Linked DNA regions of Rhinolophus ferrumequinum. The protein of the gene in region 2 interacts with the protein of the main gene of each other region in a pairwise test. Links are inferred from orthologs where the notes say so. Each region holds a gene or a part of one and is shown on either strand. Other genes may lie near its edges. The genes, in order: BICRAL, CDC5L, XAB2 and KIF3C.

Region 1 (7,849 bases), about 1.3 Mb from region 2:
CAGATTCTAAGGCTCCAATTTAGAAACAATAGGTGCAGAGCCGAGAACATGGCTTTTGGGATCCAACGTCAATTCTACCACTTAAAACTGCAAGACTTTGAACAGTTCATCTATCTGTTAACATTAGTTCCTTCCCTGGTAAAGAGATAATAAAATCAATATTGCAGGACCGATACAAACAGGAATTAAATAAAGCACCAAACACAGTTCTTGGCATACAGCAGTGTTCAATGTATGGTAGGTCTAATTTAAGGGTCTAAAACATCCACTATTGTGTGTGTGTGTATGTGTGTTTTAAACACAAGGGCACACTTACTGGTGCCACTGTTACTTTTATTCACTACTAGAAATTAACTATTTTCCATTTCTGTCGACTCAGAGATGAGAGCTTTAGATTTTTTTCATTCTCCCAATAATCTTTTCAGTGACAAAGTTAAAATCCAAACTTTTCTTAATATGGAGCTACTACAGGACAGATACTTATACAGATGCTTTGAAGGAAACCTTTAACACTAGAAATGAATAAATCTTATTATATGTAACTTATTTATCGATCAAGTTATTTAAAAACAGTGATCAGAATACAACTTGAAAAGCATTACTGCCAACTCCCTGCTTGCCCTTTAATCTTGTCTTCAGTACAGAGGAAATGGCAATATTTTGGAACAATATTTTGGTAGGAAACACCACTTTTTATAAGATTAAAATACCCATTCAATACCACTGAAAGTTCATCTCAGGAAGCAGGGTTGTTCTACTTAGAGATGTTTATTTTCTGGTCTTTAAGATTCGCCATGCCTGGGGATAAAACTATTATTTTGACTTAAAACTTTTACATATTAATTTCATTGTTGCCCTAATAAAGTGTGACTGACTAGCTAATGAGTTACCCCATGTCCTCGATTCAAACCACATACCTTGATGACTGCTAGCAGACACCTTTGGTGTGACAACAGCCACTCACCCCAGGATGGGCCCTCAGCAAAAGCAGAAGTGACTAATATTCATTTGCTCTCTGCTTTTTAAAAATTTATTGGGATGTACAATTTTATACTACATCATCTGTATATAGCATTGTGTTGACCACCCCAAGTCAAATCTCCTTCCATCACCATATATTTGACCTCCATTAACCTTTCCTAACTTCCCCTTCCCCTCTTTCCCTCTGGTAACCACTAAACTGTTGTCTGTGTCTATGAGCTTTTGTTTGTTAGGAGACACTAACTAGTGAGTTGAGGAACTGAGAAGCCTTATATTGAGCAAGACCCAAAACAGAGCAGTTTTTCTTTTTGAGAAAGAGAAAGGGGAAAGTCTTTCAAAGTGAGTATTTCAAAGCGAGTTTAATTTTTCAGATCAGAGTTCTAAGAAACTTTTAACATACTACCATTGGAAAAGTAGTATGAAAACCATCAAGAAGTTTCAAATCACTGGAACCCATTACCTTTCCACAATTTGACTAGATAAATGTCTCTCCAGGGTTGTTTTAAAATATAACCAAGTAAAACAAACCTAACGTTGGGTACCTAAAGAGAACCAAGTTATTGGAAGGCAGGCACACACTGTCCTGGACTTTTTTGCAATTTTGTAACCTGCTTTGACTCTACTCGCAAAATTCATTGGAAGAGGATGAAGGAAAAGCCTCAATGCCCTGCCCGCGGCCAGACCAGGGACACAAAGCCGTCTGGTTTCAGGCCGTAGGAGAGAAGACGGGAACCCCCTCACCCCAACGTTGGCCGCAGGGATCCAGGCTCAGGGTGGGAACCCAGCAGCTGCAAGGCCCGACCCCCAGCCCACTCCTTTCTTCACACTTGAGTGGTAAGGAGCAAGATGCCGCGGGGCCCCAGCCCCTGTCCCCTCCGAGCCGGCGGTCTTCTGGGTCTGGGGAAGGACAAAGCTACCCAGGCCGGAGCTCGGCAGTGCGGCCCCCGGCCCCATGGGCAGCTTTCCGCACCCAGAGCGTGGCTCCCCCCGGCTTCGATCTCACGGCGCCGGGGCCCGCGCGGCGCCCACGAAGGGCGCCGCCCGCGCCGCCAGGGAAGATGGCGCCCGCGGAGCAACTGCGCCACCAGCCCTGGCGACGAGCCAGGCCCAGCGCCATCTTAGCGCCTTCCAGCCGCTCCCCACCCCCCCCACCGCAAGATCCCGCATTCGGGGCGACTCGGGGGGCGCGAACGGCATTGGGCCCGCGCACTGTCGGCCAAAATAAGTGCCACCCGAGTCTGTCTCCTCTTCGGCCCGGCCGGCCGCACGGGCCCCGCAGGAGACGCCTGGCTGAGCGGCGGGTCTTCCGCAAGCCGGGAGGACTCGTCCCGGCCCGGCCGCGGCTCCCCGGCGGTGCTTCCGAGTCAGGCGGCGAGGCGGCGGGGAAGGGGCAGTCCCGCCGGCAGGCACGCGCCGAGAACCCGGCCGGGGAGGCCGGGCGGGCAGCCGGCCCCGAGCGCTCCCCTCCGCGGCCCGACCCCGCTCTCCTCGTCGCGGCCGCCCGCAGAAGCGGCGGGAAGGACAGAACCAGGATGAAACACAAACCCGTTCCCCGCCGCCGCCTCCTTCCCCACCCTGACCCCTCCCCCTCCCGAGACGCGGGGTCCATTTTGCCGAGAAGAAAGAAAATGCGATTCACACCCAAGAGCTTCCAAGAGAGAAAAGAATCGTGGGGGAGGGGGAAACAGAGGGGAGGAGATTGGAAAAGCTGATTTTTCTTCCTCGCCTGCCGTCACTCCTGGCCCTCCCTGCCCCCTGCTCGCGGCCCCGCCGCGCCGTCCTCCCCTCGCCAAGCCCCGCTCCCTCCTTCCCGGCTCCCGGCGGCTCCGGGGGGCGGAAAACACACACTCGCGCACACAACTAATTTTAAATCGGCTCAATCAATGAGTCATTAAAAGGCTTCCCTCCCCTCTCCTCCCCACCACCAACCGCCACGCCACCCCCCTTCCCAGGCTCTCCCTCTCCCCGCTCCAGAAATTTGCATCCGCGGAAAAGAAAAAAAAAAGGCGTCGGGGCCCCCACCCCGCCGAGGCGCCCCCGGCCCGGCCCCGCCACCCCCTGCCCGCCCGCGCCCCCGCCCGAGACAGTGAACTTGGTCTTCCCGGGCCCGGGCGGCGCTGGGAAAGGTATAAACACTCGATTCCCCTTTTCTCTGTGTCCATTAAACATCCACCCACCACCACCATCACCCACCCACAAACCCACCCCCCCCAAAAAAAAACACAGCCTTAGCCAATAGCTCTCTGTGCTGAAACCTAATATCCTGGTTTTGGCAACTCGGTGTTTAATTTGCTCCTCTTTCTTTTCTGTCTGTCTGGAGATAGATCTCCAGCCCCCCCCTTTCTTGCTTGTCCCCTCCCCGAAGGAAAAAGGCAGAGGAAGGAGGTTGTGTGTTTTTTTTTTCTCCTTGAAATTTTTATCACAAAATTATAATACACTCAAAGGGAAACTCACCGTCATGAAAAAGCAGTGCCTTGTCAACGGGGTTTCTGCGCCATCGCACCAGGGGCGGCGGCGGCGGCGGCGGGCGCGGGGCGCGGGGCGCGGGCGCGGGAGCTCCCGGCCGAGCGGCGCCGGCCACACGCGCTCCGCTCTCTCTCTTGCTCACCCCCGCGCCGGGCGGCGGGCGCCCGCTCCCCGCGCCCGCCCGGCCTTCATGCTCTGCGCCCGGGCAAACCGCTCTCCTGCTCGTCTACCTCCAAACTTCGGTTCTTGCCTAACAAAAAATGTGGAGATTAGGATTTTAATTTAAAAAAAATTTTTTTTTTTAAATCAAGCTCCAAAGCTGTTAATTCCTGTTTCCTTTGGGGTTCTGTTTAACTTTAGAAATGTATTGGTTTATTTAAGAAACAGGTTTATTTGGCTTTTAAAAAAAATTAAGATCTACTACAAGATGCGTGCTATTCTCCGCAGGCGCCCTGCACACACACACACACACACACACACACACACACACACAACCAGTTTTAGCTCGAAGTCGGGGGAGGGTGTTAAAAACAAAAATATTTGTTTAGAACACTAATTAGAACAAGCCCCAGTAAATACTTTTTGCATATGCTTTTAAAAAGAAAAACTAAAGCGTCACTTTTAATTTAGTTAGTATTTCGCAAATAACTGATTCATTCTAACTTTTAAATGTACTAAGCTTTCCTTTGCAACACCCTCTCTTTCCATTCCAAAATAGTGTGAAACCTCATCTGTGAAGCCTGTATGTCAACATTAAACAGAAAAAAACAAAAGAAAACAACTTTAGCGGCCAAGATGAAGGTGAGGAACTGAGTAAGTCACTCTCAACACATCCAGTTCCCACTGCCTTCTCTTTACATGTAGATATACTTTATCGCCACATTTGTGGAACTTTCCTTACATAATCTCCCGTTTTAAAAAGGGAGCTACCCAACCTTTTAAGTGTAATTACCACCCATTTTAAATCTCAAATCTCACTGTGGAGACATCTCCATAAACCATCTAGCACACAGAGCGTTTAAGTAAACGTTAACTATGATAATGTGGATTGGGAGAGGGTGCCTTTGTGATCTAGATTAACTACATTGATTTGTCCTGTAAATGCCCAGGAAAATACAGTGGGGGGTTTGTAGTTGGCTTTTAGTTTAAATAAACAAGGATAGGTAAAAGATGAATTGTACAAGAATGTGATTCAGATTTTAAAAATGCATAGGCAAGCCCCAGAAATGGTCTAAAATTATTTTAAATTAATTTGTAACGCATATAGCAACGGGGTTCTGCTGATGAACAGAATGCTCAAAACCACGTCCCCCAGATGTTTGGTAAATTCTAAGTAAAATGATCCCTGGATTTAAATTATTTACATGAAATTATTATTTGGTTTCTGTATCCCTTTAGCTTCATTAAAGGTAATGGTTGTGCACCTTACTTGCTTCTAGAAGGATACTGTAACTATTATATCGCACACAAAATAAATATTTCAAGGTAGGCACAAATGTTGTCATATTCAAGATAGAAGATCTTGTAAACAAAACAAACCATATCTTGTTCAAGTAACTGCCACTCTGTCCGTTCACAATACATGCTTTGTATTTAGATATTCCTTAAAAATACACTTAGTGATTTTGTATCACATAGTATCATGGAGGTGTTTTCTCACACGTGCTTCACATTCAGCCAAGGCCTTCCTGGAACAGTAGTCTTTGCATAAATTAGCATATTTTTCTACACTGACAGTTGGACCAACCAGTTTTCTAATTGGCTTGGGAAATTTTTAAACATGTTTTAAAGTGCCTTTGGATTGGTTGGAATTTAATTATATAATACCCATTTTGAAGAATTACATTTCAAAAGAGTCCATGCATGATTGCAATTAAGACCCACCAAGCAAGTTTTACAACTGTTGCTCCACAGCTCCAATGAAATATTAATGGTTTTCAGAAAGCTATTCTCCCAAGTTGGTCAAAACCCCAAAGAAACACAAATCTGACTTTAAAAGATCGCCAAACAAAACTGAATTCATATTCCCATAAAGAGTATAGCTACTGCAGGATTTTGAAAGAATACCCAAATACAGGGGGCACTGACATCTATTGAAGCCCCACTACATGCCACTTAGATACGTATATACGTTATTGGATGAACCTTCATGAAAACCTGTACAGTAAGGCTTAGTTATATTGATTTTGCAGATGAGGTTCCCAATAATTTCAGTAATTTGCCTCAGGTCATCAGCCTAATAAAGACTGGTGGGAGAAACTCAGGTCAGATGGATTCTAAAACTTACCCTCTCTTCAAGGCCTGAAAAGGATCTTGCTGTTTCAATATAAACAGGATTCAGTGCTGTCATAGGCAGAGGGGACGACCCTCTGCTTAGTAAAGACCTACTTGGAGAATGTCAGTTGTGTGATTTTAAATTTGGGAGAGTTACAAAATATTGGGACAGCAGTGGGGAGAATTTCCTTGCGCATAGCCACATACCTCGTGTCTGAGAAAGGTGGAATTGGAGCCCAGGTCAGTCTGAATACAGAGCCAGTGCACTTAAGCGCCAGAATGTAAGTTCCTCTAAAGGTACACATAAAGGTATGCACCTTATTTATACACATTGAGAATTCTTACATTTTCATTTCACAAACACTACATGGAGGGCTTACTAATTCATCTGGTGTATTTTGGTATTTCTGTGACCTGGACGCATCTGGTCATGCAAATCACCACCTCAGCTCGAGGCACCCCCAAAATTGAAATCATTTACCATAACAAAACAAAAACAACTTAATTTTTCCCACGTGATTAAAAACATTTTAAATAAGGGATAGGCCTGTGTATGTCAAATTTAAATTATGGTATATAGAGACAGGATTTTGGTATCTGAAGGTAAGATTAGGAAACTTTTTAAGAGAAAGGTTCTTAAAATGGCTTGACTATATGCAAGTAACTTGAACTGCATTGCCTATAATTTAATTATATACACTTAAATGGTCATTCCTATGATTCCCCTCTGTGTTGGTGACCTAGAAAGAAGGGCAACTGGACACAGGAAAAAAAAAAAAGATGTAATTATAGTTGAAATGTTCTAGCATGTGTTTGGGCCTTCCAATTAACAGGCCCAACGTCCACATAACAATTAAAAGTGAAAATGCTTCTGTTTTTTTGTATTCTTCCAAATGTTGGCCATTCTCAGAGGGGAATATGCAAATGCTGGAGCTGAGGTGGTGATTTGCATGACCAGATGTGTCCAGGTCACAGAAATACCAAAATACACCAGATGAATTAGTAAGCCCTCTATGTAGTGTTTGTGAAATGAAAATGTAAGAATTCTCAATGTGTATAAATAAGGTGCATACCTTTATGTGTACCTTTAGAGGAACTTACATTCTGGGGCTTAAGTGCACTGGCTCTGTATTCAGACTGACCTGGGCTCCAATTCCACCTTTCTCAGACACGAGGTATGTGGCTATGTGCAAGTCTCTTCACCCCTCAGTGCCTCAACTTCCTCATCTATAAAATGGGGATAATTATAGTACTCGTGTCTGAAAGTTATTTTAAGGATTCAGGAACTAATGCATGTAAAATGTTTAGCGTGGCGCCTTGTTTTGGTTGTGTGTCAGGTTGAACCATGTAAAATCTTCCCGTGGAAACTCCCCAGGGGGCAATCTCATATAATTCAACCTCACATATCTCTCTCATGTTCCCTCCTGGATAGGGAGCTCCTCAAGGGATTTCCATTCTCCAAGGGCCTAGCAGAGTACTTTGGACATAGTTAGCTCACAATCAATACTTGCATGATAAAAGGAAAACAGCCCTGTCCACGAGATGTGTAAGAATACGAGAAATGAGTGTATCTCAACCTAGAGCCCTGTATATTAAAGGAGTACAGTAAGTCCTCCCTGAACCACATAAAACCATTGCCCAATTGATCACAGGCAGTATAGCCTTATAGTTTAAGGTTCCCTACTCCCCCGTATCTGTTAGAGCTTTTTCATTGTCACTTTTTAGCCATGTGATCTTACGCTACTTTTTAAAATTTGCTTACCTCAGTTTCCTCACCTGTAAAATAAAAGTAACAATACCTATCGGTATATCTCAGGTTGGTAGGGGGAGAGAGAAATGATATTAGGTACACAAAACCCTGGCTTTAGTGCCTGGTATGTAGTAAATATTCAATAATAGTTGTCATTATTATTGTGGTTAATACTATTATTAGAAGTAATGTGGAATCATTTTCAAAGCAATGGTAAATAAATTTATCTGGAGCGATTACAAATGTTTTCAATACTCTGCCTACGTTATTATTTTATTTGATACATGAATATAAACACTTCAAATCATCTTTGTAGAGACGAAGGCTATTCTAGTCATGACATATTTCAAGCTGGTTATTTTCCTTGACAGACTTAAA
Region 2 (7,683 bases):
TGACACTGGCCCAAAGAGGCTTTTCTTTCCTGGCTGGAAAATCAGGAGAGCGTGATATCTCAGCAATGTGCCAACTATGGTATGGTGCACCTTTTAGGGGGGCTGCTGGCCAAGTTCCCAGTGGGCTTTGGGAAAGGATATGGGAACCGGTTTGAGATGCCTGGTTCCTTTCAATGCTGGGAAACGCAAGGAGGGGTTATAGCCTGAGCCCACCCTGGAGCGTGTGGCAGCCACTGCTGAATTGAGGAGCCAGCATCGAAGCTTCCAAACCTGGGCTTTGTGAGAAACACGTACATGCCAAGTGAACACTTCTTGTTCATGAAGGAACCCAGCCTCAGATCAAATAAGAAGCCTAATATCCCGGGGACTTGTTTTCTGAGGAACTATGGCTGCCTCTCCAAATATGGAGAGGGTGTGGGGGGCCGCTTCTGGTGGTGATGGGGGTGAGCCTGGGTGTGATCATCTGGCTAGAAATGTGTTCTTTTGGTCGGGTGCAGTGTGGGCTGGAGTAAAAATTGGGGTTCCCTTAGAAAGGGAGGACAGAATGGATGCATGAGGCGTAACTATACTAAAATTATTTGTTGTTTACCTGAAATTCAAATGTAAGTGGGAGTTCGATATTTTTATTTGCTAAATCTGGCAACTTACAGCAGAGGTGGCACAAAGGAGAGGGATTTGAGGGCTACGTAGGAGGCAAGAGGTAAAAGTGGCAAGACTCTACATGGGATGGCTTGGATATGGGTGGAGGAAGGTATGGGAGGAGGAAAAGTGGCAGCAAGATGGATGTTGGTGCTGTCGACAGGGTAACATGTAGAGTCTACCCCTGTGGTATCTTTATACACTTCGAGAAAGATGTCCTCTTGGTGAACACAGTCCCACAATGTACCACTTGAGCAGTGTGCAAACTGGATTTCAGCTCCATTTGTCCCTTGTGCAGTGAACTACTTAAACCCCCGTACACGGCAGCTGGCAGCCTTCTGCTATTCACTGAAATAAGGAATCCCGTGGAGAAGTATAGATTTTCTGGGGGAAGTTCAATTTTGGGAAGTTGAAATTGAGGAGCCTGTGACTCACACAGGAAGAACCGTCCAGAATTTTGTTGGGCATTTAAGTCTGGGGTCTGGTATATGCATGTGAAAAAAAAAAAGTCTCTTGTGAGAAATGTAAATCCCAAGTCTGTGCCATGTGGATGCAGGGTCTAAATATAAATTACCCGACTGGAATATTAATCCTAAAATGAGAAATGAGCTCAAAAAGACCCTTGAACCTCTGGGGCCTGAGAAAAAAAATAAATTCTCTTTGGGAACACTTCCCCACCTGAGGGCACAGGGGACTCCCTAGAAATAACACTCATGAAGATGAGCTTCTGAGAAAAAAATTACAAACTACAGCTGGACCTACCACAGGGAAGTCTCAGTAGGTGAACCTCAAGCCAATTAGTATGATTAACCATGGTTAGCAATACAATGTGAATTACCAGCATTTAGGGTGCATGGGATTCCATTTTGTAATAACTTGACACCCAGACATTAATTTTTTCCAACACTAGCTGAGGAATTTCTAAATGGGAGGGAGGGGCTTAGGGATGGCAGTCTGGTAGATGGGGTAGGGCTAGAAGACTGTTTTGAAACTGTGTTTGCAAAGCAGCACAGTGTTTCTAGTTAAATTCCACCTGTTTATTTGGGGAGATGACGAAGATTATGGGAGTGGCTAATCCCAGCCCCTAACCATGCCTTGTTATCATAGGCTTTTGACCCTTTTTTTTTTAGCCCTTTTCTGGACAGTTTCTTGATGCAAAAAACAGGATGAAACAGAAACTAGAATTTTGATTGTTTTCTCTAATAAGCAAAGTTAGCCCAGTCAGAACCAGCTTCCCAAAAAGGGATGTGGGGTGGGGGATAATGCAACCTACAAAACCCTCCTGCTAACATCTCTTGTTACCTCTTTGTAAGCTGGATGGACCTCCAACCTCTTTCCCCTGGGCCAGAATTTCCCAAATTGTGTTTCCTGCATGTCAATAGCTACTATAAGAAAAAAGTTTTCCAGGGTCAAATTCGTTTGGAAAAGCCATATTAAAAAGGGAGGGTAGTGGTTTCCTAGGGCTGCCATAACAAAGTACCACAAACTGGGTGGCTTAAAATGAGAAATTTATTCTCTCACACACTATTTTGGAGGCTGGAAGTCTGAAATCAAGGTGTCAGTCAGGTTGGTTCCTTCTTGGGGGCTCAGAGGGAGAATATATTCCATGCCTCTCTCTTAAGCTTCTGGTGTTGCTGGCAATCCTTGGTGTTCCTTGGCTTGTAGATTCATCACTCCAACCTCTGCCTCCTTTACAAACTGTTTTCCCTGTGTGTCCACATCGCTTCTTTTTATAAGGACACCAGTGATTGGATTAGGGCCCACCTTACTTCAGTATGACTTCATCCTTAGCTTGATTACATCAGTAAAGACTCTATTTCCAAATATGGTCATACATATAGGTACCAGGGATTAGGACTTTGCACATATCTGTTTGGGGGATATAATTCAACCCACAATAGGGAGAAAACGATTTCTTCATCTTATAACTTCTTACAGGCTTTAATTTTGGTGACTCTGTGAAAGGGAGCTGACAGAGCGTACTGCTTTTTTCAAATTCAAGTAATTGTGAAAAATTTGTTTATTTTAATGGAGTATCCCAGTGTTCTGAGGAATATATTTGGGTGAGTGAGGAAGAAGTGGAGGCTCTTTCTCATTAAGCCTCTGTTTAGGAATGACCACTCCCTTTCCTAAAGGTTCACAATGACAGAAGGTACAGTTTGATTTACTGATGGTGACTGTTCCTCATGGCTGCCTTGTAAAAGATTTTTGGCAGCCCCTGGGGTGAGCTGGCCTCTTTGTGGGGGCCCTGAGGTCTGGCTGGGGAGGCTGGGGTGACATGGTGGGTTGGACTGGCCAATCCAGGCCATGCTGGAGGACAGCCTCTGGTGTTCATGGCTATGGGGCGCTGGTTTGAGACATCCCAGAACTGGTACGATGTTGCATTTTCTGAATGCTAACATGGAACATGCAACTTGCATGTTCAGGGAGGCCTTGGGGGATATCTGACAGGGTTGCTCTGTCTGAATGGGCAGGTTGTATAACGCATGCCCCTAGGGGAACCGATTCACATTGTAGATATGGTAGATCTAATTTTCTTATAGTTAAGAATGTCCTGTTCTCAAAACATTAGTATTTTGCGACGGTTTTCCAACAGATGTCAATAAAGTGCCTTGAAGAAAGGGCACCTTTTTCTAGTTGGTATAAAGTTGGTATAAATGGGGTAGAGGCGGTCCTGAGGGGGAAGGAAACACCATCATCATGGTGTTTGATCTGAAATGCTAGATCTGAAATGGCTCTCGAGAGGACTAGATTTGTTAGGAATCGTGCTTACAAATAATAGAAACCCAACTTCAACAGGCTAAAGCCCAAATGGGAACTATTCATTAGAACTCAAAACAGGGATGCATTTAGGACTGTTTTGAGGAACATACTGCATCTAGGGTCTTCTGTGTAGCCAGGACCTACCTGTCTCTCTACACTCCTGTCTTGCTCCTCTTAATGCATCTGGCACCTGCTTTTCCCCCATTTTAGTCTACATCGTACAAAACATGGTGGCTGACAACTCCTGGGTGTCACATATTAAGAGATTCATCAAACCAGCAGAGAGACTGGCCTCTTCTAGGTTCCAGTGTCAAAATTCCTGGGGAGAAGACTTAATTGGCTCAGCTTTGATCAGATAAATCAAACAGCCAGTATGTGCATGCGTGTGTGTGACACTGTAAGCACAGCAACTGAGATGATGTTGGGTGTGGAGAGGGCAGGAGGTAATGATCACACATCCTACAGAGGGTTTCTGGGACAACCACTGATCACGTGGGGTTGCCCTTCTTGTAATGATATGACATTTTGAGTAGTTACCATGTATCAGATACTGTGCTAGGTTTATGATCTCATTTAATCCCTAGGACAACCTTATGAGGTTGGTACTATTATTATCTCTACAGGTTAGGAAATTTCGGCTTAAATAAGCTCTTGCCTTTTCCTGAGTACTCCGTGCATAAATTCCTATGAGTTAAACGCCTAATAAAGTGATAAATTAATAATTTAAAAAGCTCTTTTCCGATCAACTGGGCTGAAACTCCACACGCATGATGTGCCCACTCTCCTCCACTAGGTGACGTCACGGCCAATCCCACCACCACGTTCCTTCTCGCGAAGATCGTGCTTTTCCTCCACCCTTCTTTGGCCGTGCGCGCCGCCTAGTGCGCTTTGGCCAGAGTGGATCGACGGTTTTCTGTTGGTCTTCCTATATTAGAATTTTAACAAGGCACTTTATTTTCCTTGCAGCCACCCGAATTCTCGCGATACTTGCAACTCTGCTTTCCCCCCCCCCCGCCCCGCCTTGCGCCTGCGCAGATCTTTACAAAGGAGAAGGTCGCGCCTGGAGGAAGTGGTGCCTTTGGGTCCCGTGGCCGCAGCGCCGTTACTACTTTTCTGAAGCTCCTCTCGGCCGCTTGCCGAGACACCCCACCGCCAAGATGCCGCGAATTATGATTAAGGGGGGCGTATGGAGGAATACCGAGGTAAGTCTCCTTTTCCCGCCGTCCGCTGCCCTTCGCCCCCTCCGGCAGCTTGTGCGCACGCGCGCGGAGGTGGGCGAGGAGGGGAGGATGCCCTGCGGGGTCTGCGTGGGGGAGGCGCGGGCTGGACCCTCCGGCCTTTCGTTCCCGACCCTGCGTTATCCGAGCACTTCAAGGACGGGGACCGTGATTTAACCACCTGACTACCTGCCAGGCACTTGTTAGGCCCCCCAGTGAACACCTCTTGAATTGAGGACGCGCCCCTCTCGCTGGAGGAACTCAAGAGTATGGAGGGGAAGAAGGGACATCAGCGAGAGTCGGTCTCCTGGGCACTTCCGTGCCTGAGCCCGGACACCGCGCCTCTCTTTGATACTCACAAATAAAGAAGTGCTGTGGCCACAACTTTGTTTCTTCATCGACTTCCTTGCAAAGGGAAATAAGCTTGAGTGCCAGGTTCGAAGAGCCCGTTTATGCCCGCATACCGCTGGTTATCTGTTATCGAGGCATAACTTGCCTGCCCTCCCCACAGGTCCCAAGGCCTGTCTCTTCCTGTCACTCTTCCTCACCCTGGATAGAAGCCAGATGGGATCAACTGACTTCAGTAGTTTCTTTGCTTCCAGAAATGTAGTGGATAGTGCCAGGGGTGAGCCAAAGAGCAGCAGAGACGGAGTAAAATAGAGATAAGGTGTTAGCCCAGTTTGTGTTCCTGAGTGCACCGAATTTGTCAGTTTCTGGAGCACATCGTATCTTTTCATGATCTGTGTCTTTTTATATCTTGTGCTTTCTTTAAATATCCTCCTACTACTTGGCATCTTCCGCCATCCTTCAAAACCTCTTCTTGGAAGTTTTGCCCATTCAGCCTGTAAACATTAGTCGCACCCCAGTGGTCCCATGGCTCTTCTCTCATCCATTTGTTATAGCTTGCTTTGTCCTTTTGCAGGCATCACATCCTTCTAGGTAATGCTGCGTACGTTTTTTTAACTTATCACAACCTCAGTTTTCTCATCTTTCTTATGGGGATCATAATAGCTGTCTCTTGAGGTAGATTAAATGAGTCTATGTATTTGGATCATTTAGAACAGAATCTGGCACATAGTGGTCTTTCCGTAAGTGCTACTTGCTATTTCTTTCCCCCAGCAGACAGCACTGGAAGAGAACCAGATCCCTAGAACCTAGGACAGTAACCAACAGGAAGTAGGTTGCTTGGCAAATGTTAGCAGAATGAATCTAATAGGGTAGATAACTTAGGTGAAGATGTGTTTAACTAGAGCAGTACTGCAACAAAGTTACAAGTAAAGTCAGTGATAACCTTGCATCATTGTACAGAGGGAACCAAGCCATTTAAACTGGAGAAGAGGTGACTTCTGGGGGAGAAACAGATGTACAAAATCAAGTAACAGCAGGACTCCCCTCCAGTGGCTGAAGCCCTGCAGTCTTTTTTAATCTCTGAGGATGGGAAAGTGGAGTGGGGTGGAAGAGCTCATGTGTGAGGCATATAGCTCAAGTTCAATGTGGGAAAAACCCTAAAAGCAAAATGCCCCCAAGTGCGTTCGTCTATGGCTCTGTTATCCCTGTTGTCTTTGGCTTAGCTTGCTGGGCTCCTCTGGGATTGGTTAATTCCATATTGGAATGGGTGCCACGGTGAAATAGTGTCTAGATACTTGGGGAGGTTGGAGGCGGGGGAGAAATTCTTAATTATTAGGTTTGACCTGGGATGTGGATTCTTGGATCAGAGTGGGGGTTATGGAATTGGAGAGAAAATGCCGTTTGTAAACTGGAGGCAGGAAACCTAGATTGGAGAATGGAATCACTAGAGTCTTAACTTGCTACTTGAGGGTTGGATATGTCCAATTCAAAACCTGATATAAGGTAGGTGTTCAGGAAATGTTCTTTGAATGAATGAATGAATAAGTGAATGAGCTGTATAATTTTTGAGGAGAATGAGAGTCATACTTTGGAGAATACGTTTTGTTACCCTCTATCAAGTAGGGTTTCGTAGATTGGGCTTTACCCATCTCAGTTTATTGGGGGTGGAGGGAGAGGCTGTAAAGAAGGGTAGGGTGTCCTGAGAGATGTCTTCTTAGTTTCTTGCATTTTGCTGATTCTGGCTTGCTGTTTATTATGATAGTAAATGAGATTTTTGTACTTTTTTTTTTTTTTTAAAACCTAGGAGGTATGTGTGTCTTTCTCTTTCTTGCTTGCTACCCTGTCAGAGTTAATTTAAATTTTGTCTTTTCTCGCTTGGAGTTTTGTGATTAAATATGTTGTTTTTTTCTGACAATTCTTTAAGGATGAAATTCTGAAAGCAGCGGTAATGAAATATGGGAAAAACCAGTGGTCTAGGATTGCCTCACTGCTGCACAGAAAATCAGCAAAGCAGTGCAAAGCCAGATGGTATGTACCAGTTAATGAATGGAAAACAGAAAAACGACCTTAGTTAAAATGAGGAAAATGTCAGTTCTTTGAAGCTTATAAAAGAAAGCAGGCATTGTGATATAACAGAAAGGATGGAGTGGGAGATGGGGATTTAGATTTAAGACTTAGCTGTCACTTGCTTCCTATGTGATCTTAGGCAAGCTATTTTTCTGCCCTCTCTCCTGTGCCTGTTTTCTTCCAATTGGGTGATAATACATCTTGGCCTTAACTGCTGGAGATACGAGGCTCAAGTGAGTTAATGTGCTAAAGAGTACTTTGTGAAGCATAAAATAATTCTCCTTTTATTTAGAGATGGACTCCAGCTTATAAATCGTGTTCCCAAAGTTTTAAAAGTTGATTAGAACTTACTTTCCCAAAGAAATAAATGATAAATAATGGTTAATTTTCTAGGCTAGTTCACAGTAGTTTTCTCATAATACAGTTGAAATATTGTATATTTGCTCCCCCAAAGTATAACATAACCCAACACTGCACCTGGGGTGTCCTCTTTTAAGTCACAGAGTAGTGGACACACTAAACTTTCATAGGTGTTTGTGGCATGAGTGATCTGGCCCCAGCGCTGACCCATGTGGTACGAGGACCGTATTTTGAATTGTACAAGAATGACCTAATTTCCTAGGTGCCTGGGTAGGGGAAAGGATCAGAA
Region 3 (7,693 bases), on a different chromosome or scaffold from region 2:
ACTGGACTTAGAGCTGAGCTGCACCCTCCACAACTAGATTGAAGGACAACAACTTGGAGCTGATGGGCCCTGGAGAAATACACTTGTTCCCCAATATTCCCCAATAAAATTTATTAAAACAAAAAACAAAAAAACCTAAAGACTCCACCAAAGAACTATTAGAACTAATAAATTCAGAAAAATCGCATGGTACAAAATCAATATACAGAAATCTGTGTTTCTATACACCAATAACAAATGATCAGAAAGAGAAATTAATAAAACAATCCTATTTACAACTTCATCAAAAAGAATAAAATACCTTGGAATAAATTTAACCAAAGAGATTAAAGACCTGTACTCTGAAAAGATACTAAAGAAACTGAAGACGATACAAATAATAGAAAGGATATACCATGCTCATGGATTGAAAGGATTAATATTGTTAAAATGTCCTTATACCTAAAACAATATACAGATTCAAAGCACTACCTGTTAAAATATCAATGGCACTCTTCTCAAAACTAGAACAACTAATCCTAAAATTTATGTGGAACTACAAAAGACCCCAAATATCCACATAAACCTTGAGAAAGAACAAAGTGGGAGATATCATGCTCCCTGATTTCAAACAAAGCTACAATAATCAAAACAGTATGGTACTGGCATAAAAGCATGTATGTGGATGAAAGGAATAAAGCAGAGAGCCCAGAAATAAATCCTCATTTATATGGTCAATTAATCTATGACAAATGAAGCAAGGATATACAATTGAGTAAAGACAGTCTCTTCAATAAGTGGTGCTGGGAATATTGGACAAATACATGCAAAAAAGTGAAACTGGATCACTTTTTTTTTAAAGATTTTATTGGGGAAGGGGAACAGGACTTTTATTGGGGAACAGTGTGTACTTCCAGGACTTTTTCCAAGTCAAGTTGTTGTCCTTTCAATCTTAGTTGTGAGGGTGCCGTTCAGCTCCGGGTCCAGTAGCCGTGTTCAATCTTAATTGCAGGGGCGCAGCCCACCATCCCTTGCAGGAGTAGAGGAGTCGAACTGGCAACCTTGTGGTTGAACCATGTGGGAATCGAACCGGCAGCTTTTCGGCATTAGGAGCACGGAGCTCCAACCGCCTGCGCCACCGGGCAGGCCCCCTGGATCATTTTCTTACACGTTATGCAAGGATAAACTCAAAATGGATTAAAGACTTAAATGTAAGACATGAAACCATAAAACTCCTAGAAGAAAACATAGGCAGTAAAACCTTTGACATCCATCTTAGCAGTATTTTTCGGATATATCTCCTTGAGCAAGGGCAACAACAACAAAAAATATAAACAAATGGGACTACATCAAACTGAAAAGTTTTTGCACAGTGAGGGGAACGATCAACAAAATGAAAAGACAACCTACTGAACAGGAGAATATAGTCGCCAGTGATACGTTCAATAAGCCGGTAATATCCAAAATATATAAGGAACTCATACAACTTAACACCAAAAAAACAAACGATCCAAGTGAAAAATGTGCAGAAGACCTGAATAGACATTTCTTCAAAGAGGACATACAGATGGCCAACAGATATATGAAAAGATGCTCAACGTCAATAATCATCAGAGAATTTAAAATCAAAACCACAATGAGATAGCACCTCACTCCTGTCAGAATGGCTGTCATCAATAAATCAACAAATAACATGTGCTAGTGAGGAAATGGAGAAAAGAGAACCCTCAAACACTCTTTGGTGGGATTATAAATTGGTGCAGCCACTATAGAAAACAGTATGGATATTCCTCAAAAATTAAAAATAGAACTACCTATGACCCAGCAATTCCACGTGTGTATTTATCACAAGAAGACAAAAACACTAATTCAAAAAAGATAAATGCACCCCTATGTTCACTGTAGCATTTCTTACAACAGCAAGATATGGAAGCAACCCAGGTGTCCATCAATGGTTGAATGGGTAAAGAATGGGATATATAGTGGAATATTACTCATCAATGAAAAAGAATGAAATCTTGACATTTGTGACAACACAAATGGACCTAGAGGGTATTATGCTAAGTGAAATAAGTCGGACAGGAAAAGACAAATACCGTATGATCTCACTTATATGTGGAATCTACGAAAACAAAACAAAACAGAAAAAGATCCATCAGTATGGACAACCATCTGATGGTTGCAAAAGGGGGCGATGGGTAAAAAGAAAATATCCTCAACACAAGAAAAAAAAGAAAATAGTGTCACTATAGTCAAGCTGCTAAATTACTAAAAAGTCAAGTAGACTGAGAAACAAGGCAATGCATATATTCTTGTTTTAACTATCATGGGAACTTGACCGTTTGAACTTTCCAGTCTTCTGTCACTGCCTGGATATATACATCAGTTCACTGTGTGTCAATACGTGGATATACACCAGACCTCCAGAAAACCCCCTTAATACCCCCCTGAAGGCAGTATGCAGGCCACCTGATGTCCATCATCCAGACCATCTGACATCTGACTGATAACCCTCCGAGACCCTCCAGGTGAAGAATGCAGAACTGATTACTCTCAGGAACGTGCTTTTCACCATAAGAATTCAACTTTTCTTTCCTGTTTAGAACACTTCTGGGTTTCTGCCTCGCTATGTTTCCAGTTTGCAAACTCTAAGACCCTTGAATAAATCTTTACTAGTCATTTCTACCTAAAGCCTCCAGACTGCCTTTGAGTTCGCAGGGCAACACCAAGAACCTAGCGAAGATACTGGGCCTCTACTCCAGACACCAAGTCGTTGCCTCTTCAGGATTCCACTGGCCATTGCCTGACCAGCTTCACATCAGCAGGTCTTTACTTCTGACCCCAGGGTTCTCCTTAGCCAGACACCAGGCCTTTATCCCAGAAACTATGACGCTGAGGACCAGATCTAGGCTGTCACCCAAGACACCAAGCCTTTACCACAGAAACCCAGAGCCCTGGCCTGGTCACCATGCTTTTACTTCTGACACCAGGCCTCTCAATTATTCAGTTATTCGAATTTCCCTCCTCTCCCGCTCCCATTTCCGCCCCTGGCCCGGGACGCCAGAGCTTTAACCTCGACAGCAGTTCTTTGCTCAGGCCCCCGGGCTCCGGCACCAGACCTTTACTCCTGGCCAGCCTGACCGGGACATCACCATACGGCCTCTGGCCCATTACGGTCCTCCCGCCCTTGGCCTAGATCCCCGGGGGGCCAGGCCCTGACCGCCTGCGGCATCCAAGCCCCTATGTCCCCACACAGGCCACCCCTTGCCCCGCAACAAACTCACGAACACAGGGTCCGGCCGCTCGGGCCGCGAGAGCCGAGCCATCACCACCATTTTGCTGGCTCTCCAGCGACAGGAAGGAGTCGCGTTAGAATGACGTCTTGCTCTGCAGGCCAACCCCGCCCTCCCCCTCCAGCTTCACTTTCTATTGGCTGACCCCATCCCGAGACTGCTACACAAGTTGTTGACTTTCACTTAGACGTCGCTAGCGACCAGAAGCAGAGAGTAGGAGCCCGGAGATGACGTCATCCGGGGCTCGTCGGCCAATCAGCTTCAGTGGTGGGTCCCGCGAATTCCCAATGAGCTGCTGCTGTTTTGCTGGAGGGGGGTGGCTTTGGGCGGAAGCTGCTTTGTAGCCTCGGAGAAGCGAAATGGGGGTGAAGCTGGAGGTGTTTCGGGTCAGTGGGCACTCGAGCGGGTGGGCGGGGGCGTTTTCCTGGATCTGAGAAGGAGGCTGTAAAAAAAGGGGATTCCAAGAGAGGGCGCTCTGGGGAGAAAGATGCTGAGATTTGAGAAGGCCCTTCAGGGTTGGAAACCCAGAGAAGGGGACGCCCGGTTCGGGGGGCTCCGGGAAGGCTGGTGTGAGGAAGGGCCTCTAAAAGGGGTGATCGGGGGTGGGGGCTCTAAGACGGAAGGCTCCAGACTCTGGGGGAGTTCTTGGGCTCAGGATGGGTGTGTGTGTGTATCCGATAGGGAGACTCCTAGACTAGGGGAGTAGATTCTGAAGAATGAGGGGTTTGGAGTGCTCCTGGGAACTGACCTGGGGAAGCTGGGTAACGAAGTCTCAAAGAGATGCCTATGCTTGTGGTAGGAGCTCCTGTACTCCTGGGGCCAGGAGTGTGTGTCTTTTTTTGAGAGGGAGTCTCCCTTACTTGGAGGCAGCTTTCAAAAATAAGGGCTCTTGTATTATGGGGTCTAGACTCCCATAATCCCAGGCTGCTTGGGGGGCCCTGAAGAAATGCCTCTGGGTTCTGCCAGAGGATGGTCCTCCAGGCTCTGAGCAACCTCAGCACTTCGGAGGAAGGTGATTACCGCTGGCTCTGCTCTCCCATCTCCCCACCTTCCAGATGACACTCTACCTCACCTTCCCTGTGGCTATGTTCTGGATTGCCAATCAGGCCGAGTGGTTTGAGGACACCGTCATACAGCGCAAGGTGGGTGCAGGGAGAGTGTTCAAGGGTTCATTGCAGGGGGTGGGGGAGGGTATGGGGCACTAACCTGCTAGGAACAAATGTCTGCCTCCTATGAGCTGAACTGCCTTGGGTGTGGGGCTCTGGAGGCTCTTGGCTCATCCATGACTTTGTCCCCACAGAGGGAGCTGTGGCCACCTGAGAAGGAGGACCAGGTAAGTGACATACTCCTCCTCCCACCAGAGGGATGGAAGGGCCTGGGTCCCTTTGGCCTTGATGGATTCAAATGAAAATGTTACCCTGGGTCATAAGAAGGGAACTGAGAGCGGAGGAGCACATGGTTTCCTTATTGTCCTCTCCCTGAAGGATGAAGCTGATCCCACTTGGGCCCTTCTTGTAATTGGCACAGGGCTTCCAGTGTAGACACTGAACGCTGAAGCTGTGGCCTGGGGAGTAGGGGGCAGAGTGGTGGGGGAAAGGACCAGGCCCTGAGGTATGTGCCCCCCTCCTTCCTTCCCATCCCACCTCTTCCTCACTCTCAGCGCCAAGAGCTAGAAGAATTTAAAGAGAGGATACGGAAGCAGCGGGAGGAGAAACTCCTTCGCAGTGCCCAGCAAAGCTCCTGAAGCCTCCAAGTCCCAGGCCCTCCATCCATAAAATAACACACAGTCAGTTCTTTGTTGCTCGTGAAAGTGTTTTTATTGTCTGCTTTCAGGGGGCCCGAGTGGGGCCCAGGACAGCTCAGGCCCTCAGGGGGCTTGTGTCTGGGGTTGGGGGCTGCTGTTCCGACGGAAGCTGAGAGCAGTCGGGTCCTGAGGGGTGAGGAGGGGTTGGGGGCTGAGGGTCCCGGCTCGTTTCTGCATTCCATCCTGTGGATGAAGAGAGGTCAGCCAGAGGGAGGGACCAAGGGCAGGAGGGAACTGAGAGCGGAGGAGCACAATTACACTGGAAGCCCTGTGTCAATTCCACCTCCGGGCCGGAGGTGACACAAACAGTGGAGGGAGGGTGCAGTTTGGAACCAGTGTCCCAGCTCCCACCATCTGCCCCCACCATCTCCAAGCTTCTACATACCTTAGTTACTCGACACTTAGAGTGGTATTTGGGTGTGAGGTGGGGGTCCTGGGGATCACACTGGGGTTTGATCAGAACCCAATCTCTGCATGACTACATGTGACATAGATACACACGAGTGTATGGATGCATGTGTCCTGTGCATGAGCTCATGGGCCCTTCGCCCTGGGAGAATCTTCCCAGGAGGGGTGTTCTGTTCTCTCTGGCCTCCCTGAAACCCTCATACATGGGGGCAGGAGCCATGAGTTCCAGCCGTGGCTCTGACATTAACAGGGCCCCTGCCTGACCTTGGGCACCTCTTGGCCCTGTGTGGGCCTTCATCCTCCTGTCTGCAGTCAGGTATTAGATTGGCCAGGGCCTCGTGATTGACAGGGACACAGGGTGGCTCTCCTAGGCATTCATCACGAGGGGACACATGAAGGACAGAGGTGGGGGGGCCATTCACTCCGGGCCGGGGGTGGGAGGCAGGGTTAGGGGGCTCAGCCTGCTTGGTGTCTCCTCAGCCCCAGCAGAACATCACCTACCTTGGGACCCACAGGCTGGAAGCCAGGCAGGGCACTGACTGTCACACGCTGGTCATCCATGCGGCGGCCCTGGGTGCTGGCCAGCATGTCCATGAGACTGTCCATCTCCGGCGCAGGGCCACTCTCTGTGTGGAGTAGTGGCAGGTAGGGATGAACACACACAGAGTCCAGGGAACACAGCCCAGCTGAAGGCCCCGGCCCACCCCTTGCCCCCACTCACATTCTCCAGGAAGCATGCTCTTCTCTCCCCCACACCCTTACCCCCAGACCCACAGGCATCTGTGTCCCCAGTTGCTGGCTTACTCTCTCAGACAGACTCTTGCCCACAGGCCCCCCAGATGGTCATTTGCCCTGTACCCCTACAGTCTGCCCCGTCGCAACCCCCAGAAAGCACACCTCCCCTACTCCCCCACTGCCCACTCACGGCTCTCGGAGGTTGTTCCTGGCCCTGCCTGCAGTGAGCAGCGCTGCTCCTCCATCCGATCGCCCTGCACATGGCTCAGCAGGTTGAAGAAGCCCTCTTGGTCCGGGGAGCCCGCCTGGGGGACAGACACACCTGGTCCAGCTGGCCCCTCAGTTGGGGGACCCCTTACCAACTACCACCCTGCCCTCCCCTCCACCTCGGCTCTCACCATAGTCCCCGCTGATGTGCTGCTCTGCAGAGCTGCTCTGAATGAGACACAAGTCTCCTTCCCAGCCCCTGCCCCCGGGGCTCAGCCAGCAGAGCCACTTCACGTGGTGCCACCTCAAGGGAGAGGCCGCTGGTGTCCCGCAGTCCTAGATTGGGGCCTGCCTGCAGGGTAGCCTGGGGGCTGGGACAGCAGCTAGGGAAACATACCACAGGCTGCCCCCAAGCCCCAGCGTCCCCCCAGCTCACCCAGGCCATCTGAAAGCGTTGACCTCTGCCCTGGGGCCTGGGTAGGCACTCAGACCCTCGTTCCCACCAGCACCTCCTTTACCAGCAATCTAGGTCAGGGGTCCCGGGAGACTCAATCACTAATTAGGTGCCCTACAAACTAGTCAGTCTTGTCATTCACAGCTCTTGAGGAGTTGGGGGTGAGTAGGGGTGGGCCTGCTTACCTTGACACAGGGGGTTAAACTCCCATCTACCTTCTCTTCCCGGTCCATTCTTGTCCCTGCTCCCTGGCCCTGTCCACTTCTCTGCTGGCCTCTGGCCCAGACCTGTGCCAGAGAAGGCTTTTTAAAAGTGGGGAGAGTGGATACCCAGCCCCAAATCCCCGGCTCACACCCCATCTGCTCCCACCCAAGCTTAAGCCCCATAAAGATGATCCAGATAATTGTTTTCGCTGTGCAATGCTGGGGTTGCCATGGGGATAGAGTACTGGTGACCTGGGAGGGGACCTTGCTGATCCTGCAGGACTCACTGGCCCCCAAGAACTCTCAGGTGGCGTGCAGCAACAGTGGGGAGCAGAGGCTGGCTGGTCCCGATTGGGAGAGGAGAAGCCAACAGAGCAGCTCTGGTGGGGTCTGCAAGCCCACCAGCAGGAAGAAATACAGGACTGTCTCACCATACTGGAAGGCAGTTGCCATCTGCAGATGGTAGGGGAAGGGGAAGCTGGACCTGAAGACCCCTGAGGCACCACTAGCCAGCCTAGTGCCATCTCTGTCTCCTGGCCATCCCTCCCCCTACTCACTGTCCCTGGGTCTGGCTGACCCCCATAGGCCCCAAGGCAAGGTCTGGGATCTC
Region 4 (8,628 bases), on a different chromosome or scaffold from region 2:
CAGGAGGCAGGGACGTCTGTACTGAGGAGGCAAGAGTTGAAATGGATGTTGAAAGAAGAAGGTGGAGTTAGTCCAGGTAGGGCCTGGATTGAGAGATGAGCCTGGGGCCCAGTACAGGATGGTGGGAAGAGTATATAGGCTTTGGAGTTGGGGAAATTAGACTCCAGTCCCAGTACCACCTGGGTTAATGTGAAGGTTAAGATAAATCATCCACAATCCCCCTAATAGGTGTTCAATAAAGGGTAGCTCCTAAGGATAGCGCTTTTTTAATATTCAGATTTTTTTTAATTTCAGATTTTTCTGTTCTTTTCAGGAAGGGCATGGGGAGTTGACTCAAATCCTATTCACCAGAAATTACAGAAGAGGGAGGGGAAAATAATGTATTGAGAAAAGAGGAACTATAATTAATCTAGACTTGGACACAATTGGGGGTCTCTTGAATTAGATAATATCACAGTGCGTGAGAGCCCAGAAATTTGGATCTCATCCATTGATTTTGTCACATAGTCATGTCTCCCTCTGCTGATAGAACATGGTTTTACAGTGTAAACCCAAATCCTGAATTACTTGGACCTGAAAATTTGCAGCCCTCAGGATTACTAAAGAGTTAACTCTGTCTTCTTGGCATAATCTCTGCCTGGCTGTCACTGGAACCATGCTGGAAGAAGAGGTTGATATGGGAATCCCCTGGGGAAAAAACAACTTTCAGCAGTGAAGGAAGCTTCTTCTTTTCAAGTCAAAGATGGGTCTGAACTCCAATGAAACTGTCGCTGAAACCAGGACTGGGAAGCAACTGCTCTGCCATCTCCACGGTAAGCATTCCTTGTGACATAGGGGGAAGACCCCCAGGGTTGCAGGTTTGGAGTCTGGAGACTGACTATGCCACTTGGTGGGTGGGTTTCCTTCCTTAGTCACTTTATTAGCCTGAAGCTTAGCGTCCTCACAATATTAATATTTTCCTCTTTCTTGGGGTTGATATGAGGATCAAGTGAGTAACATATGTGATAATACTCTATTAACTGTAACTCCTACAAATGTAAGAATTTATCACTATTACTTTTTTTATTTTGCCTCCCTGTTTTTTTGCCCTGAAGGTCTTGGAACATTCATTCACTTAGCAACTGATATTGATTACCTAAAGTGTATATAGTACTGTGCTAGGTATGGGGAAATGAGACACAAAGACAAAAACCACAGCTTCTGTCTTCGGGGAGACGTACATTATGTTGAGGGAGACAGATGCCGTTAACCACAGTACAAGTCAGACTAGCTGTGAGACTAGTTAACAATGAGCTATAGAATCGTGAGGAAAGGAAAGATTAGTTAGAAGGCAGAATCAGAGGAGTCAAAGGAGGCTTCCCAGGAGAGGTAATATTCATATTCATAAAAAATAGTTATTGAGCACCTACTATGTGCCAGGAACTAGATTAGTCATATGGATACAAAAAATGAATGAAACAGACATATTATGTCTTCATAGAACAACAGAGAAGGTGGATGAATAATTATTTAATTACAATTATGCTAAGTTCTGTGAAAGAAATACAGGGATGAATGAGAACATATTACAAAGGGACATAATCTAGATGAGGAAGTCAGGAAAGGTGCCCTCATGAAGTGACATTCAAGCTGAGAGCTAAAGGATGAAGAGTAGGTATGTAGGCAAGGAGGATGAGGATAATTGTTCTGTGCAGCTGTACAGAATGTGTAAGGGCCCTGTGGTAGGAAGTTGGCAGGGAGTTGGAAAAGGTCATTGTAATGAGATCAGAGAGCAAAGTGGAGAGTGGCATGAGATGTGACAGGAGACATGAGACGTTACCAGATCATGTAGGGCCTTGGGGCCTGCATTCATGACATGGGCTTTCCCTTAAGAGCCATGAGAAGCACTGGAAGGTTTTAAGCATGGGGGTCACGTGTTATTAAAAGATTATAGAGAATGGATGGACGGAAACAAGAGCAGACCTAGGCAGACCAGATTGGAGGCGACTGTAGGAGGCCAGACGAGAGATGCCATCATCTCTTGGGTCATGATACTGGCTGTGGAAGTGGAGAAGAAGTTGATAGATCTGAGAAATATTTAGGAAGTTGAGTTGATAGGATTTGGTGTTTGAATGGATGTATTGAGGGTGGGGAAAACGTTGTTTACAGAGCTAGCAAATATTCTGGGAGGACCAAATTTGGATGGGAGAATGGTAGAATTTCAGGATGCATAAGAGCCATTCAAGTGGCTATGTCCACTAGCGAATTGGATAGATAGATTTGGAGCTCAGAGAAGTCTGGACTAGAGATACAGATTTAGGAATCATTTAGACAATAATTGAAGCCACAGCTGTAGTGATCACTAGAGGGTGGCATGAGAAGAAAAACAGGATGTAGGACTTAGTGTTAGTGAACTCCAACACTTAAGGTTGGGGTTGAATGAGATCAACTGGTTAAGGAGACTGAAACTGAGCAACCAGGACTCCTAGGAGCTGTAGGAAGAAAACCAGAAAAGTTCAGGGCCATGAAAACCATGGGCAGTGAGTCTGACAAAGAAGGAAGTGGATGATTGAAAGGGGCCCACTGGAATTGGCCGTGGAGTTCACTGATGTCCCTGGTAAGGGAAATTTCTATTGAGCGGCTGGAGGAGAAGCCATATGAGATCGAGTGGTGGCATGAAGAGAAGGTGAGGCTCGGTAGACAGGGACAAAGGTAGGAGGACATTTCAGGCCAAGGAGCAGCATGAGCAAAGGCATGGAGATGTGAAAAAGTAGTGTGTTTGGAGGATCTTAAACAAACCAGAGGGACTAGAGACCTGAGTATTTAAGAGGGTAAGGTGGGGAAGGATGGCTGAAGACCATGCTGAAAAGGGAGACAAAGAATGTGAACCACCTGAATGCAAAGGACAAAAGGAGGGAACATTATTTCTTGAATGACTTCTATGCTCTGGGAGTTTTCACATACATTATCTCACTTAATCCTCTTGTAAACTCTGTGAGTCACGTAAACATTTTTATCCTTACTTCTCCCACTGAGAAAAGAGCTGTTCATAGAAGATGAATAATTTCCTCAGAGTCGTAAATCTTGTCAGTAATGGGAATCCAGTCTCCCTCTCATATGGGAGGATCTGGGCAAATGCCCGGCCAGGTGGTAACATCAGGTGGGGAGAACAGGGCCGGAATCCCTTTTATCCAGCGCCGTAGTGTCAGGTGAGTTAGCCAAAGCAGAGAAAGGATAGTCCAGAAACCAAAGCCAAGTGCAACACGAAAATAGTTCAAGAGTCAAATGGTCCATCCAAAAGTCAGGTTGCCAGAGCCAAGAGAGGTTAGTCTACAAAGCCCAAATCCCACCCAGTAATTGGTCTGAAAGCCAAGTTAATCACAAGCAGTGGAGTTTGATGAAAGAAAGGGCTAGGAAGCCAGGAAACGTCAGAAGTGGGCCAGCCACCAGCTAAGCCTCAAGCTTCCATTTGAGCTGGCATTCAGATCTTGGGGATTTGAAGATGGGGAAGAAGTGAGGAGACAGATTCTGTAGAGTTGAACAACTAAACAACTAGGCTCTCTAGAGAATAACATGATTGGAAATGTTTTGTAGACAGATTCTTCTGGTGGCTCTATGAAGAAGCACCTCGAGATTTCAGATAACAGCACCTCCTCAATCTGGATCTCATATGGAAGGTAAAGCTAACTGGGGCCCAGTCCACAGATTCAACTCCCCTCTGCAGAGTGGAACATGGGTAGGCCACTGGCTTGGTCCTTGAACTTGAGGAATTACACTTGATTTATATCCTACAGGAAGAAAATATGAAGACCCCAAAGAGAAGCACCAAGCACAGACCTGGCATATCCAGAATGCTGGAGGAAGCAGGAACTATCAGGCAAGCCAAGGCTATGTGCGTTATTAAGGGCTTACTTAAAAATAAGTCTTCTCATTGGTACAATACTTTATGATTCATTGTTTCATTTGAGACTCACAACCACTCCCTGAAGTAGGTATTATTTCTCTCCCCCTGTTCTGATTTCTTTAAACAGATGAGGAAACTGTGGCTGGGGCAAGGTAAGAGATGCCCAGATTCACACAACTGTGTGAAGGTCAGAATTGGAACTGGAACCCAAGTTTTGTTTTATGCAAATTCTGTGTCTGTTTCAGCTACGGAAAAGACATTGGTCAGGGAAGGCTTCACAGAGGAGGTGCTTGAACTCCCAAGTGGCAGGGCAGCAAGTGCAGAAGGGTGACAGGGTCCTCTGGACATAAAGATGCAACATGGCACAGCCAGATAAACAAAACATGGTTTCTAGAATGGGAGCTCCTTGAGGACAGGAAGATCCAGTTCCTTGAATGGGACCTGGGTTTTGGCAGGTGCTGGATAACTCTTTGAAGGAATGGAATACAGATTCTGTACAGGAGTAGCTGGAAGGGAGGCTGGGAAGTAAGGCAGGGGTCAGAAGATGGAGAGCCTTTTATACAACAGAGAAGGTGGAGGAGGAGGGGAGGGGACCAGGTTGCAAGAGCAGAGAACAGGTGAGGAGAGAATCAGCTGGAAGGTGGTTCCAGGAGAGAGAAGAGGAAGGCCAGAACTAAACCAGGGTAGGGAGAAGAAAGGACAGAGTAAAGAAACATTTGGGAGTCAGGATACCCGGTGACACCCTGCAAGGGAGCAGTGACATGTACCGTCTGCAAGCAGAAAGGCTGGAGCATTGGAGAGATGGAGGATGGTGGCTGTGGAGCAACAATGTTGGGTGGTGTATCACCCCCTTTCCCCCACCAGGTAAGCGGCTGCAACCTCAGCAGTCACTCCAGGCGGTTGCATGCCAGAAAGGGTGGGGCCTCCCGGACTGGGGAAGGCAGCAGCAACCTGCCGGATGCGGGTTAACAAAGGCAGGACTACAACTCCCAGCATGCTCAGGCCCAGTGGGGTGACGGCGGGCGGTGGCTGCGCTGCACCCGCCTGGTGGGCGCAGGACGTGGGTCGGCCCCCGAGCCTGTCATTCCGGAGGGGTCTGCTGGGGTGCGGGTCGGCGATGCACCCCTGGACCCCGCGCACCGGCATCGCTGGGCTCGCATCTCCCGCCCCGCGGCCCCTCCCCTTGCCCCACCCCAGCCGGGCGGCTTAGCTGGGGCCGCAGCGCGGCTGCAACATCACTCTCGCCGCCGCTGCTCCGCCCCATCCCCTTCTGTTTTTCTCTCATTCTCGGGTGGCGGCAGCGGAGAAGGCGGAGGCAGAGGCAGCAGCAGCAGCGCTGGCTGCGATGAATGATCCCCCAGCTGGGGGAGAGGACTCCAGGTGAGCCTCTGCCCTCTGGAGGGCCGGGACCCCCGGCCGCCCAGGACCTGCAGCCACCGCCATGGATCCCTAGAGGCGGGGGTGGAGGAGGAGGAGAAGACAGCCCTGCCGCCCACCCCCATCCCATTTTCCTCTTCCTTTATCTCATTGTTGCCATAGCTGTTTACGGCAGCGCTCCTCTGCCCCAGCATGGGGCGGGCTCCCGGCACTGCCATTCGGCCGGCGCGGCTCCCGCGGCTGCCCGGGGGTTCTGCCTAATTCTCTCTGCCCAGCCGGTGCAGCGGAGAGTGGAGGAGGCCCGGACTGCAGCAGCGGCGGGGCCACCTCCCAGCATCCCCACCCTAGGAGGCTGCATGCGGATTGAAGAGCGGAGCCTGGGGGCTGGGCCGGCCCTGCTGATACCTACCTAGGGGGGACCACCGGACTGCCCGGGCTGCGGAGGGGGCCGCGGGCCGGGAAAGATAGAGGAGCAAGATGGCCAGTAAAACCAAGGCCAGCGAGGCCCTGAAGGTGGTGGCCCGGTGCCGACCCCTCAGCCGGAAGGAGGACGCTGCTGGTCACGAGCAGATTCTGACCATGGATGTGAAACTGGGCCAGGTGACCCTGCGGAACCCCCGCGCTGCCCTGGGGGAGCTGCCCAAGACCTTCACCTTTGATGCCGTGTATGATGCCAGCTCCAAGCAGGCTGATTTGTATGATGAAACTGTGAGGCCCCTGGTAGACTCGGTGCTTCAGGGTTTCAATGGCACGGTGTTTGCCTATGGCCAGACGGGCACTGGCAAGACCTACACCATGCAAGGGACCTGGGTGGAACCAGAGCTTCGTGGGGTCATCCCCAATGCCTTTGAGCACATCTTCACCCACATCTCCCGCTCCCAAAACCAGCAGTACCTGGTCAGGGCTTCCTACCTGGAGATCTACCAGGAGGAGATTCGAGACCTGCTCTCCAAGGAGCCCGGCAAGAGGCTGGAGCTGAAGGAAAACCCGGAGACAGGTGTCTACATCAAGGACCTCTCCTCCTTCGTCACCAAGAATGTCAAGGAGATCGAGCATGTGATGAATCTGGGGAACCAGACCCGGGCGGTGGGTAGCACACACATGAATGAGGTCAGCTCCCGCTCCCATGCCATCTTCGTCATCACTGTGGAGTGCAGTGAGCGTGGCTCTGATGGCCAGGACCACATCCGTGTGGGCAAGCTCAATCTGGTGGACCTGGCTGGCAGTGAGCGGCAGAATAAGGCAGGCCCCAACACAGCTGGGGGGACAGCCACACAGTCCACCGGGATTGGCGGCGGTGGAGGGGGCGGTGGTGGTGGAGAGAGGCCTAAGGAAGCCTCCAAAATCAACCTCTCGCTGTCTGCCCTGGGCAACGTGATCGCTGCTCTGGCGGGCAACAGGAGCACCCATATTCCCTACCGGGACTCCAAGCTGACCCGGCTCCTCCAGGACTCTCTCGGGGGGAACGCCAAGACCATCATGGTGGCCACCCTGGGGCCAGCTTCTCACAGCTACGACGAGAGCCTCTCCACCCTGCGCTTTGCCAACCGGGCCAAGAACATCAAGAACAAGCCCCGGGTGAACGAAGACCCCAAGGACACGCTGCTGCGGGAATTCCAGGAGGAGATCGCCCGCCTGAAGGCCCAGCTGGAGAAGAAAGGGATGCTGGGGAAGCGGCTCCGGAGGAAGAGCAGCCGCAGGAAGAAGGCTGTGTCAGCCCCGGCCGGGTACCCCGAGGGGCCAGTGGTGGAGGCCTGGGTGGCCGAAGAGGAGGATGATAATAACAACAACCACCGCCCGCCCCCGCCCAGCCTGGAGTCCACCTGGGACAAGAACATGGAGAATTACCTCCAGGAGCAGAAGGAGCGGCTGGAGGAGGAGAAGGCGGCCATCCAGGATGACCGCAGCCTGGTGAGCGAGGAGAAGCAGAAGCTGCTGGAGGAGAAGGAAAAGATGCTGGAGGACCTGAGACGTGAGCAGCAGGCCACAGAGCTGCTCGCAGCCAAGTACAAGGTAAGGGCCCCAGAGGGAGCAGGGGCATCCAGAGGTCCCCAGAGGGATCTGAGCCAGCAGGTCTGTGACATGGCTTGAAGCATCGTGTCGTCCCCTTGCACCATACACTGCCTTCCTGCCAAATACTCCCCTGGAACAGCCAGGTAAATTCCAGGCAGAGCCTCCCAGGGGCACCTAAGAGGATGGACGCACACACACAGACACACACACACAAACACACACACACACACACACAGAGCAACGCAGGCAGGTGGTCTCTCAATGAGCGTGGGCTGGTCTGACCTGCTGCATGTCAGTCTCTGCCAGTGGCCCCCTAATAGCGGTCAAGTCCACGGGACGGCCAGGCAGGCCCTCAGCCTCATCTGGGGTGGGTTCTCACTCTTGCAGAGCCTCCTCCCTGTGACCTCCCTCTGCAGCACCTTCAGACCTTACACTGTTTTAATAATATCTGACATTTGGATAGCATTTCACAGTTAACAAAATGCCCCCCGTACACGATCTCATTTGATCTTTACAGTAGCCATCCAGGGTGCTGGTCCTTAAATCCCCATTTTACAGGTGAGGAACTAAGGCTCAGAGAAATGACATGTCCATGGTTACATGCTACGAAATGGCAGAGCTGAGCAGGAACCCATGGGCCTCGTGCTCTTTCAGTTCTTGGATGGCAAGGGGGGACTAGGAATGGATTCTACTCCCTGCAAAAGCAGTCCACGGGGCCCATGCGGGGCAGGCGCCACTGCATGGTATCATTTGGGGAATCACTCAGAGGCTGGAAAGAGCACGGGGCTCCACACCGGAGACCTAGAGTGTCGGCCCAGCTCTTCTACAGCTTATTGAGAGACCTTGTGTAAGTTGCTTCCTTTTTTTCCTCAAACCTCAGTTTCTGATTTTGTAAAATAGAAGGTTGGCCTGGGAGATTTCTGAGACTCTTCCAACCCGATCATTTTTGACCTGTATTAATTTGAGAAGCAAACCAGCTGACCCCCACACCTACGCCTTATCCCAGTAAGATCCAGTTCCCGTCGCCCTGAGAGGTATCAGGGCCTCTGTCCTTCCGGAGCTGATCCTCCCCCGGGGAGCCTCCAGGCCGGAGGTGGAGCTGAGCTGCAGAGGCCCCACCAGGCCAGCCACAGACCTGCTAAATTTCAGTGCTGCAGATGTTCCTGGCATTTTTAGGTCCCTGGAGTCCTCAACCCTGGAGGGTGGGAGGAAGGACACAAGGAACCATGAGCTGGTCGCTTCCTGGGGAAAGCCAAACATTGCCATTTCTTATTTCTTCTCAGGAGCATGGGCTCCTGAGGCAGGGAAGCCCAGTCTGGAGAGGGAGAGCTGTAGCCGCCGGAAGGTGACAGATG

The links.
Region 1: the proteins of CDC5L (region 2) and BICRAL interact in a two-hybrid assay, tested with the Homo sapiens proteins (2 studies listed by BioGRID and IntAct). The link is inferred for Rhinolophus ferrumequinum from reciprocal best matches to the Homo sapiens genes CDC5L and BICRAL.
Region 3: the proteins of CDC5L (region 2) and XAB2 interact in a two-hybrid assay, tested with the Homo sapiens proteins (2 studies listed by BioGRID and IntAct, with this or other methods). The link is inferred for Rhinolophus ferrumequinum from reciprocal best matches to the Homo sapiens genes CDC5L and XAB2.
Region 4: the proteins of CDC5L (region 2) and KIF3C interact in a two-hybrid assay, tested with the Homo sapiens proteins (2 studies listed by BioGRID and IntAct). The link is inferred for Rhinolophus ferrumequinum from reciprocal best matches to the Homo sapiens genes CDC5L and KIF3C.

The regions. Positions count from the first base shown.
Region 1 is NC_046286.1:12,313,352-12,321,200, reverse strand, and holds the start of BICRAL (BRD4-interacting chromatin-remodeling complex-associated protein-like), read right to left. Parts: upstream 3,516-7,849; 5' UTR 3,436-3,515; intron 1,816-3,435; exon of another isoform or gene 1-1,815. UniProt on the Homo sapiens protein: Component of SWI/SNF chromatin remodeling subcomplex GBAF that carries out key enzymatic activities, changing chromatin structure by altering DNA-histone contacts within a nucleosome in an ATP-dependent manner.
Region 2 is NC_046286.1:13,593,612-13,601,294, forward strand, and holds the start of CDC5L (cell division cycle 5-like protein), read left to right. Parts: upstream 1-4,440; 5' UTR 4,441-4,559; coding exon 4,560-4,604; intron 4,605-6,891; coding exon 6,892-6,995; intron 6,996-7,683.
Region 3 is NC_046301.1:56,686,285-56,693,977, forward strand, and holds the start of XAB2 (pre-mRNA-splicing factor SYF1), read right to left. Parts: upstream 3,383-7,693; 5' UTR 3,315-3,382; coding exon 3,264-3,314; intron 1-3,263. Other genes in the region: protein PET100 homolog, mitochondrial, read left to right, coding at 3,632-3,658, 4,328-4,414, 4,573-4,605, 4,933-5,016; PCP2 (Purkinje cell protein 2 homolog), read right to left, coding at 5,140-5,259, 5,986-6,110, 6,410-6,524, 6,863-6,871. UniProt on the Homo sapiens protein: Involved in pre-mRNA splicing as component of the spliceosome. Involved in transcription-coupled repair (TCR), transcription and pre-mRNA splicing.
Region 4 is NC_046296.1:54,369,620-54,378,247, forward strand, and holds the start of KIF3C (kinesin-like protein KIF3C), read left to right. Parts: upstream 1-5,191; 5' UTR 5,192-5,737; coding exon 5,738-7,273; intron 7,274-8,628.